Oryctolagus cuniculus: one gene and its partner. The protein of the gene in region 2 interacts with the protein of the main gene of each other region in a pairwise test. Links are inferred from orthologs where the notes say so. Each region holds a gene or a part of one and is shown on either strand. Other genes may lie near its edges.

Region 1 (6,246 bases), on a different chromosome or scaffold from region 2:
AAGTATCTGCCCTAGAGACCAATAAAAGGTTATCATTAGTAGTCCTTCCAAAAAATCCAAAAACAAGTAAAAGCCAATATAACATGTAAACAGAATATTCCACAGATTAACATGGACATAATAAAAGTTCATTTTCCCCCTTCTTCTCATTTAGAATATCGATGATTATTCTGTCCTTAGTAGATATACCACCAAATCTGTTCCTGTTCTTTGGTATTGAATAACATTACTTTCTTATGTTTAGTCTTTTGTTGAGTTACAATTAAACTCAAAGGGTTAATGCAATAGGAAATTCTCTTTAGTTTTTTTTTTTTTTTTTTAATTTATTTGACAGAGTTAGACAGTGAGAGACAGAAAGAAAGGTCTTTCTTCCATTGGTTCCCCCCAAATGGCCACTGTGGCCGGCGCTACGCTAATCTGAAGCCAGGATACAGGAGCTTCTTCCTGGTCTCCCATGTGGGTGCAGGGGCCCAAGCGCCTGGGCCATCCTCCACTGCCCTCCTGGGCCATAGCAGAGAGCTGGACTGGAAGAGGAGCAACTGGGACTAGAACCCAGCACCCATATGGGATGCTGGCGCTGCAGACAGAGGATCAGCCAAGTGAGCCACGGCTCTGGCCCCATAGGTTTTAAGAAGCTGAATTTTTTTTTCTTTCTGAAACACTTTATAGGACTTCATTAGATAAGAGACTTGGTTGCCATTTGGTAACAGAAATCAGAATAGAGAATGGCCAAATTAAGATTCCATTATTCAGTGATTGGAATAGGAAATTCCAACAGTGTGTAGAATGTAATTAAGATACTAAGGCTTAATTACTAACCAAGACTTAATGCAGACTTCATAGGTAGATTGTATCATCTCTCTGTTAGACTCCTTTGAATTCAGACATCAGCTACAAGCTCTGCAGTTCCCAGACTACCCCTACTTTTGACAACTGGCAATAGATTCTGCTGCCCCTTCAGATTTTCTAAGTTGTTAAAATGACTCACAGAAGTAAAATTTTTATTATAAAATGATTGAAAAGAACATACTCATGGGTTAAGACCTAGGAGGGTCCCAAATTCAAAGCTTCCCTGTTCCCAAGATGCACCAACGAGGAAGCCCAGCAGAACTTTTATATATTAATGATTTCATTGTATTTTCATTTTATAGTCAACATTGATTGAATCCTTGGTAATGTGATTGAGCTCAGTTTCCACTGACCATCCCCCAACTAAGATATCAGAATTATAACCACTACCCTCTTACCTTGGTGTTTTGTGGTAGGGCTGGGCACCATCCTGAGTCATCGGAGTAGCATAAACTCAGATGTGATCTGAAGAATTCACTTGGAATAAAAAGATAATCCCCCTTTGGGGTAAATTTCTAGAATTTAGAAGTTACCTCCCCTGAACTAGGGACCATGGCCTGCTAAACTCTTCATCCAACAGTGTGATGAAAATGTTGAAAAACTATGAAGTAGAAAATCTTTTACCACTGTCCACATTTCCAAATCCAACTGCTAATGAATATTTTTGTTTACTGATGAAGCTTCAGAAAGTTTGTTGAAAAATGGAATTAAAAGTTGTTGTGGGGAGCAGACTTTTGGCTCAGCAGATTAAGCAGCTGCTTAGACACATGCAGCATTCTGTATCAGAGTGCTGGTTTGAGTCTTGGCTTCTCTTTTTTTTTTTTTTTTTTCCTAGCCAGCTTCCTGCTAATATGCCTGGGAAGGTAGCAGAAGATGACCCAACAGTTTGGTTCTCTGCCACCCATGTGTGAGACTAGGATAGTGTTCCTGGCTCCTGTCTTCAACCTGGCCCAGACCTGGCTGTTGGTGCCATTTCGGGGATCGATCTGTATCTCTTTCCACCTTTCTCCATCTCTTGGTTGCTCTGCCTTTCAAATAAACAAACAAATCTTAGGGTGAATATTCCATGAAACTTTTGAAGCCTCCTCTTATCTCTTTTTTTCCTTTATCAACAAGGGCATAATTGTTGGTGATTTCTCCTCCTGTGTCCTAGGCATGTCTTGTTGCATAACAAACTAAATTTCTACATCTCTTCTGTTCAGGATCAGGTTACTGATCCACAGGGGTATGTTGAGGTCTTTTCTTTAAAATGCCCTGCTTATTCATAGATGTATGATTTACCTAGTTTTGGAGCTCTTCAACAAGCTGTACCCTTGAGGTGCTTTTTTTCGGGTGGTGATATTTTAGGAGTATCAGTATGGATGATTGCCTTGAAAATGCATTACCAAATTCTTCACCCAGCCTATGGGAGAAAAGATGGTTTCCACATAGGATGATTGTAAATTGAGTGGCCATGATGCTGATACTTTTTCTGCAGAACTAACAACTCTTGGTCTTTTGGGTCTTTGGAAATATTCCTAGACTGGGTAAGTATTCACTGTTTCCTCGCACATCCTTGTGTTCAGAGACTTTTGTTTTATTTTATAGTTTCCTAACAAAGTAATGGCATTCTCTGAGCATTAAAGCAGATTGTCATAAATAGAAGAGTCTGTGTATTCTTTGATATGATTAATATTAATAAATATTTTTGTCATTTATGTATACTATGCTCTTATCATAGGTGTCAGTTGTACCCAAGACGTTCTCAACAGCAGCAAGTACCTGTGGTGGATTTCCAGGCGGAACTAAGACAGGCATTCTTAGCCGAGACACCAAGAGGTGGTTAAAGCAGTATTGGAATATCAAGGTAGCTGACTTCTAAGCAAAAACCAGGTTAGAGCTGATGTAGTAATGATGAGAAAATAAATCATTGAAAAAAAGGGTGTTTGGTGTTCATTTAGTAATCTGGGCACTTGAAAAGACTTTTTTTTTTAAAAATAAATACTTCTTATAAAAAAGCAAATTACATAAAGATTTTAAAAGAGTAAAAGAAAATCCTTAATGTTCCTGCCATGACAATGTTTTTGTGTCCCAATCTTTGTGGTGTGTGCTTTTTGGATAGTTTTATTTATGTTCTATTTGATTTTCAACTTTACCTTATATATAAAAAAAAAAAACTGTTAGTTAATGCTTTATAATTCTCCTTTGTGAGTGATTTAATTATTTTGCAAGAGTTTGTAAAGTAACATTAGTTTTCATTGCCATAAAATAGTGTGCTATTTAAAATACACTTACCAGTCTTATTATAATTATAATATCATTTATACTTATTGAATATACCATCATTATCAAGATTATTAGAGAATCTAAATATTTCCTTGGTTATTCACTAACTACTTCTTTCATTGTTTTGTCTTTTTTCTCACTTTTCTGTTTTCACCAATGTATTTCTTACTGGAATCAGCAGACAATGCAATAAAGATTATCCATAAATTTTTAATGTGATGTAGATTTATTTACTGTTTATGTTGATTTATATTTTCTAGAAAGTTATTCACATTGATTCAGTACCTTGTTTTTACTTCATTTTTTTCTGTTTTAAAAATAGAATGCCCTTATTTCAGAGAATTTGCTATATACTGTTTAGAAAATAGAATCAGAAAGGGTATATGGGTGAATTCTCTACTAGATTTTTATTTCTGTTTTTGAAATGTTGCCCCTCAACTTGAATTAATTAGGACTGTTTATGGCTACTATATTGAATTTAAATCTGAGAAGACATATTTTCTGAGAACTCCTCCCTGTTGAATCCTCAATATCCAACATTCCAAGATGAACTTTGTTGCAAATAAGCTAGGGAATCTGAAAATTGCCCCTCAGGGCATTTTTCAATGAGTAGGCACACACACAGTTGATTTTCTTTGTGTCTAGACATTTTTTGGCTTCTCAGTTGAGTTAGAATACTCTTGAAAACTTCTAAGTATGTTATTTAAATTACGTATTAGCATCTGCCAGTAGAACCATTTCATTTTCTCATATTTAATCATATCCTATGTTATTCTGTGTCCAACTGCTAGTTTCACCTAAACAGTGATAGCTATTAGGCTTTCATTAGAGTAGGAGTTAGTATCTGTCCCACTACATATTTTTGTAGATTTTTATTGATCTATAGCTATGTCTATGTAAGGCTCATGGCTACATGACACTACAGTGTCAATTTTTTGACAGATCAGATGATAGGGATAGCATGAAATATTTAATATCTTGTTCTTTTATATAAAAACATCTACTGATCATTATTTTAGAGACACAGATTAATTGAAAACACCACGGTGGTGCCAAGGGGTATAGCAAAGTGCTGAAGAAAGGGATTATTGAAAGATTGTATATGAAGTATGTAGAATACTAGGTATTTCTGCAGTAAGAGAAGGGTCTGGAAATCATATGGATTTCACTTGAAGGGTACTTTAATAATTGATACCTTCCTATTTTAATTATAAACATCTGAACAATGTGATAGCCAGGAAAATTGGAAAGTAAATTTATGAATATTACAGATTGAGCATCCTTAATTCTCAAACTTGTAACTGAAAATAATACAAAATTTTTTGAGCACTGACACCCCTGGTGGAAAATTCCAAACACCATGACTCTTTTCATGCACGAAAGTACCATATAAAATGACTGTATGCTATGTGGGTAAGTTGTATATGAAACATTATTTTGCAGATGCCAATAATCACGTATAAAATAATCTGAAATGCAAGATATGTCTGATTCCAAGCATCTTGGAAAAGGGATATTGAACCTCTAGTTTTGTTTCTTGGTACAAAAGGATAAGTATCCAAGTGTGGGTATAATATTAGAGTGAATCTTTTTCTTTTTAAAAATATTTATGGTTTGAAATACAAAGATGAACGAATGGACAGAGATCTCATCCACTGATTCACTTCCTAAATAACTGAAACAGGCAGGGTGGGACAGGCCAAAACCAGCAGTCAGGAATTCAATCTGGGTCTCCCATGTAGGTTGCAGGTACCCAAATACTTGAGCCTCCACAAGATACAGTGTTTGCAGAATGCTGGAATATGGAGTGAAGCCAGGACACCAATGTAGGTACTATGATGTGGTATCCAGTTATCCTAATGGTATCTTAACTACTATGCCAGATGATTTCCCCTGGAATGATTTTTAAATGCATCACAGGAAGTCTTGATTGATGTGAACATTCCTAGACTAGAGGTAGGTATTTGGACATTTGTGTTCAGTATCAGAGTACCTGGATTTGATTCACAGCTCTGACTCCTGACTCCAGCTTAGTACTAAAACAGCTCTAGTAGAGAGTGGTGATGGCATGAGTTATTGGGTTCCTGCCACCCACAAAGGAGACCTGGATTCCAATTTATGAGAGCTCTCTGTGTCTTTCTGTCTCAAATAATTAATACAAACTTTAAAAGTGGTTAGTTTCTCTTTACAACTCTTAGTTTTTAAATAAACACTTCCAATGAAGGAAAGTATGTGGTATTTAGTTGGCCGTGCTCTGTGGAAGAATATTTTCAAATTAGTTGTATATTCTCCCATTCTTTATTGTTCAGGACATCTATTCACAGGCTTAAACTTCTCTTATTCATTATGTTATTTTGGGTCAGAGATTACACATGATTGAAGTAGTAGTTCAGTCTCCTTGTTTGAATAGTTGCCTGTGATTTTCTCATGAATTTTAGATAATGTGTTACCTCATGTACAAACATTGGATCTTGGGCACTGGAGTATTCTTGATGCCATTTCTGTAGATATAAGTAGGTACATAGATAGTATAATCTGTTATCAGTCGTCTTACAGAGCAGTATAGACAGTATATTGAGGGAATAAGCAGATTGTTTACCATAAACTTTAAAAAGAATGCATGAAAGCTTGTATGTGGAAAATGTAGGTTGTTGGGTATACTGAAAAATTGTTAGGGATTTCTTGGATCTTAAGATCTAAGAACTCTCAAGATCTCATGGAATGTCTTACTGCAATTAAGCTTCTAGAACTATAGGAAACATCCCTTAAACATCTTAGAACTTTATGGAAAGAGTTATCACGTATTTTTATGTTCTTTTATATGTTGGCATAAAATTCCATATGTGCTCAAAACTTATTTTACTTTATTGTTTTGGTGTTCATGTAGTTTATAGTCATGATTTTAATGATTATTTTCAAACCATGAAGTACTCAGAATATACCTAACATTTAATGTGCTGTTTCAAAATTTTATCTATTGGAAACAGTGAAGAACAATCCTAGTGGAATTTAGCTTTTAATATGATTCTATTTTTATATTTAACTCCAAATTCCTACTCAAAAATAATATAATTTGTGTCTCTTTGTACCATCAGCAGTTTCAGCCACTGAATAAGATGCTGGCTAAATTTG
Region 2 (4,837 bases):
GGTTCCACGGGTGACCCATGTGATGGCCACTGCTGGCCAAGTGGAGCAGCTGTCTCCCTGCTGCTGCTGGCACGGGGCACCTCTGCACCCCATGCGGGTCTGAGGTGGGGTCGTGACCTCGGCACCCTGTGTGTTCCCCAGTCGGGCAGCGGCTTCAGGTGTCACTCAGGACCTCCTGCTGGTGAAGGGGACCCCACTGCGTGACTGCACCCCTGTGTGTGTGTGTGTGTGTGTGTGTGTGTGTGTGTGTGAGGGAGAGACAGGCAGAGTGAGAGTGACAGAGACAGAGCGAGCGTGACCGAGACAGTGACAGACACAGACGGGAGAGTGACAGAGCAAGCCCCATCTGCCGTTCACCCCCCAGATGCCCGCACAGCAGGGGCTTGGCTGGAGCCAGGACCAGCAGCTCCGTCCAGGCCCTGTAGGTGAAGGGCTCAGCGCTGGGGCCCTCTCCTGCCCCCACCCCCGCCCCCGCCCCCAGCACTGGCAGTGCCCTGCGCCCCGCCCCACCGGTCCTTTACCCATAGCTGCAGAGAAAGTTCTAGAACCATGGCTGGGGCTTCACGGGGGAGGCCTCTCCTGGCCGTGCCGTGTGCACTTTTCCAAATGTCTGAGACCCCACCCCTGCCCTGCTGTGGGGGCCCCAGGATTTCTTTCTTTCTTTCTTTTTTTTTTTTTTTTTTTTTAAGTTTTATGTATTTATTTGAAAGTCAGAGTTACACAGAGAGAGGAGAGGCAGAGAGAGAGAGAGAGGTCTTCCATCCGCTGGTTCACTCCCCAGATGACCTCAACAGCCGGAGCTGTGCCGATTCAAAGCTAGGAGCCAGGAGCTTCTTCCGGGTCTCCCACGTGGGTGCAGGGGCCCAAGGACTTGAGCCACCTTCCACTGCTTTCCCAGGCCATGGTAGGAGCTGGGTTGGAAGTGGAGCAGCCGGGACTGGAACCGGCGCCCATATGGAATGCCGGCCCTGCAGGCGGCAGTTTTACCCGCTCTGCCACAGCGCCAGCCCCCTGGGTATTTGTTACCATGCCCCAGACCCCTCAGCGGCTCCTGGGACCCTGGCCCACGTTTTGTGAGTTGGGGTCTCCACCCCCGTGCAGACGGCCCCTGCTTGCAACTCATCCTGGAGGTTGCTGCACCTGTGTGTCTGTGAGAGACGTGGGTTCCGGAACGCTCCTGCTCTGGGTGGCGCCTGTCCTGTCTGTTTTCTAGAATGTTCTCTACTATGCCTGCTCTTCCTGTGACCAGGACGTCGCCCGCCTCTCTGTGTCCTCTCGTTCCTCACGGGGGACCCTCCCAGGAGTCCCGTCCACACCCAAGGCGGTCCCCTGGCCGGCAGCCGGGCTAGGGCCCAAGCCGCCTGATGGCTTCCCTTCCGTCCGAGGCGTTGCTGGCCCGTGATCTGCATGGAGCGTGTTCTGAGCTTTGTGCCCTGGCCTCCGTCCCTCCAAGAGGGTGGCATGCGCCCACACCCTAGCCCTGCCCCGCTCGTCCCGTGTTGGGGCAGCTTCCCCTCCCGCCCGGGCTCCTGGAGCCCAGCCCGTGTCGTCCCTGGCAGCACAGCAGGCACGCGAGGAGCCAGCCTCCGCCCTGACCGCAGCCCAGCGCTCGGCTGCTCGCGTGGTGGGGCTGGGCAGCAGGTGGGTCCTGGCGGGGCCACAGCCGGCACCGGGGCTGGGGAAGCGCACCTGCCCGCCCTGCACCGCTTCTCAGGGCCAAGCTCAGAGCAGCGGCTCCCAGGTTGCCGTCTCCCCTGGTGGCGGCCGGAATTCAGATCCAGAGACACCGCTGAGCTGGACTTGAAGCCGGACCAGAGGTGTGGCCACGGTGCATGTGTGCACAGCATTGTGTGTGGTTCCAGGCATCTCGTGTCACCCCTGCAGAGGGGACAGAGCTGGCTGTGGGGCTGACTCTGGCCACAAGGACGTGGGGCTCATGGGGTGCAGACACGGGGCTCGCGGTGGTCATGCGGCACCCACCACGGTGTTCACGCGGTGTTCACGCGGCACCTGTCTCCGTGGCCATGTGACACGGCTCACACGGTGGTCGTGTTCTGGTCTCATGGTGACCACGTGGCATGTGTCTCATGTGGGGTCTCCACCCGCAGGCCGTGTGGGGCAGGCGGTGGCGCTGCGGGCCAAGGCGTTCGGCTTCAGCGTGCTGTTCTACGACCCGTACCTGCCGGACGGCGTGGAGCGGGCGCTGGGGCTGCAGCGCGTGGGCACCCTGCAGGACCTGCTGTTCCACAGCGACTGCGTGACCCTGCACTGCGGCCTCAACGAGCACAACCACCACCTCATCAACGACTTCACCGTGAAGCAGGTGCCGCCGGGCCTGTACACTGTCCACGGGGCGGCCCTGTCCCCTGTCCATGGGGCCTGTCCACTGTCCATGGGGGCCTGTGCGTGGGGCGGCCCTGTCCACTGTCCACGGGGCCTGTCCACTGTCCACGGGGCTGCCCTGTGCACGGGGCCTGTGCACGGGGCTGCCCTGTCCACGGGGGTCTCTGCCTGTGGCCCTGTCCATGGGGCCTGTGCACGGGGTGGCCCTGTCCACGGGGTCTGTCCATGGGGCCTGTCCACGGGGCCTGTGCACGGGACTGCCCTGTCCACAGGGGCCTCTGCCTGTGGCCCTGTCCATGGGGCGGTCCTGCGGGGGCAGCCAGGTGGCCTCCTGCAGCTCCAGGCCTTTGATGGTCACTTGTTTGCTTGCTGCAGGGGGTGGGGGTGCACACGGGTCCACACGTATGGTGGAAGGGGCCTGCCACACCCTCTCTCCCATGGTCAAAGGGTGGGGGGGTGGTTGGAGCTGTGACAGGGAAGTGGCACAGGCAGTGGCACTGGGACCCAGGGCCAGGAGGACCTCGGGGTGAGGGGGGGCAGTCAGACGCTGACCGCAAGACGGGGCAGCCGGCTCCAGGGCCGTCTGTGAAGGCAAGAACGGCCCTGCCCTGGCACGGAGCTCCACACAGCCCACCCTGGCCGGGTCTGGCTGCCGGCCGGGGCCTCGCGGTGCTGAACTCCCTCCCCAGGGGGCGCTGCAGCCGCGGCTGGGCGGGCCGGGGCCGGGGCCGGGCCTCTTCCCCAGTGGCCCGGGGCGCTGCCTGGTGCCAGCCTCCCTGTCCATCCCCCAGATGCGGCAGGGGGCCTTCCTGGTGAACACGGCGCGAGGCGGCCTGGTGGACGAGAAGGCCTTGGCCCAGGCCCTCAAGGAGGGCCGGATCCGCGGCGCGGCGCTGGACGTGCACGAGTCGGAGCCCTTCAGGTGCGGGCTGCCCGGCGTCGGGGCTCTGTCTGCGTGGGTGGGCACGCGAGCCTGTGGCTGCAGGCCAGGGGCCTCTTGCTGGTCAGTGCCCTTGAGTGGCATCTGGCCTGGCCTCAGGCAGTCCCGCCGTGCTTGGTTCGGGCCCGGCCTTGGCCTTCACCGGGCTGACCTTCCTGGCTCTCGCTGGCCTGGGTGCTTGTGGCAGGACCTGAGCTCACTGGGGGCAGTGTCCTGGCCGCGGGGCTGGGCTGCGCTGACCAGTCCTTTGCCACCCCAGCTTTAGCCAAGGCCCCCTGAAAGACGCACCCAACCTCATCTGCACCCCGCACGCCGCATGGTACAGCGAGCAGGCGTCCATCGAGATGCGGGAGGAAGCGGCCCGCGAGATCCGCCGCGCCATCACAGGTGGGCGCCTCTGCCCCGTGGTCCTCACGCCTGGGGGAGGGGGAGGGGAGGGCGCCTCTGCCCTGTGGTCCCCACGCCCGGGGGAGGGGGAGGGGAGGGCGCCTCTGCCCCGTGGTCCCCACGCCCGGGGGAGGGGGAGGGGAGGGCGCCTCTGCCCCGTGGTCCCCACGCCCGGGGGAGGGGGAGGGGAGGGCGCCTCTGCCCCGTGGTCCCCACGCCCGGGGGAGGGGGAGGGGAGGGCGCCTCTGCCCCGTGGTCCCCACGCCCGGGGGAGGGGGAGGGGAGGACGCCTCTGCCCCGTGGTCCTCATGCCTGGGGGGGGCGCCTCTGCCCCGTGGTCCCCACGCCCGGGGGAGGGGGAGGGGAGGGCGCCTCTGCCCCGTGGTCCTCACGCCTGGGGGAGGGGGAGGGGAGGGCGCCTCTGCCCCGTGGTCCTCACGTCCAGGGGAGGGGGAGGGGGGGTGCCTCTGCCCCATGGTCCCTGCACCAGGGCTGGGGGAGCCCCTGGCGGGGGGAGGGCGCCTCTGCCCCGTGGCCTCCATGCCCGGGGGAGGGGGAGGGCCACGTGTGGCAGGCCTGTTTCTGAGCTGGTACCGTGGCCCCTGGCTGCTGTGTGCCAGGCCGGATCCCAGACAGCCTGAAGAACTGTGTCAACAAGGACCACCTGACAGCTGCCACTCACTGGGCCAGCATGGACCCCGCCGTGGTGCACCCCGAGCTCAACGGGGCTGCGTACAGGTGAGCAGGCGCCTCCAGGGCGCTGGGGGTCCCAGGCAGGCGCCAGGTGGCTGGGGTCTGGGGCAAGGCCCGTGCAGTGGGGATCTGTTCCCCTGAGTGGCCCGTGGGAGCCCGGGCCTCCTGGATGGACGTCAGGACAGGGCGGGCTTAGGCCTGGGGGGCACGCGGGAGCGAGGACTGAGCAGGGGTCTGGGGTGCAGCGAGGACCTCATGGCTGAGTCACTGGGCAGGACTCCGTGCCCCTGCTCTGAGGAAGCCCCCACGGTGGGGGGTCTCCTGGGGAGAGCCCCTCCTCACCCCACATCCGTGCTGCAGCCTCAGTAAGCCTGCGGGGGCAGGTGGGGTGGGGCTGTGAGGGGGCGTGGCTTCCAGGGTGGGGTGGGTGTGGCTGCCAGGGTGAGTGGGGCTGTGAGGGTGGGCGGGGTGTGG

What was found. The genes of interacting proteins can lie anywhere in the genome.
Region 1: the proteins of CTBP1 (region 2) and SNRPN interact in a two-hybrid assay, tested with the Homo sapiens proteins (2 studies listed by BioGRID and IntAct). The link is inferred for Oryctolagus cuniculus from reciprocal best matches to the Homo sapiens genes CTBP1 and SNRPN.

The regions. Positions count from the first base shown.
Region 1 is NC_091443.1:13,809,520-13,815,765, forward strand, and holds the start of SNRPN (small nuclear ribonucleoprotein-associated protein N), read left to right. Parts: upstream 1-2,675; 5' UTR 2,676-2,695; exon of another isoform or gene 2,696-2,721; intron 2,722-3,292; exon of another isoform or gene 3,293-3,328; intron 3,329-4,868; exon of another isoform or gene 4,869-4,940; intron 4,941-6,246. Other genes in the region: SNURF (SNRPN upstream reading frame protein), read left to right, coding at 2,570-2,675.
Region 2 is NC_091433.1:408,115-412,951, reverse strand, and holds part of CTBP1 (C-terminal-binding protein 1), read left to right. Parts: intron 1-2,108; coding exon 2,109-2,323; intron 2,324-3,134; coding exon 3,135-3,265; intron 3,266-3,542; coding exon 3,543-3,670; intron 3,671-4,290; coding exon 4,291-4,408; intron 4,409-4,837. UniProt on the Homo sapiens protein: Corepressor targeting diverse transcription regulators such as GLIS2 or BCL6. Has dehydrogenase activity. Involved in controlling the equilibrium between tubular and stacked structures in the Golgi complex.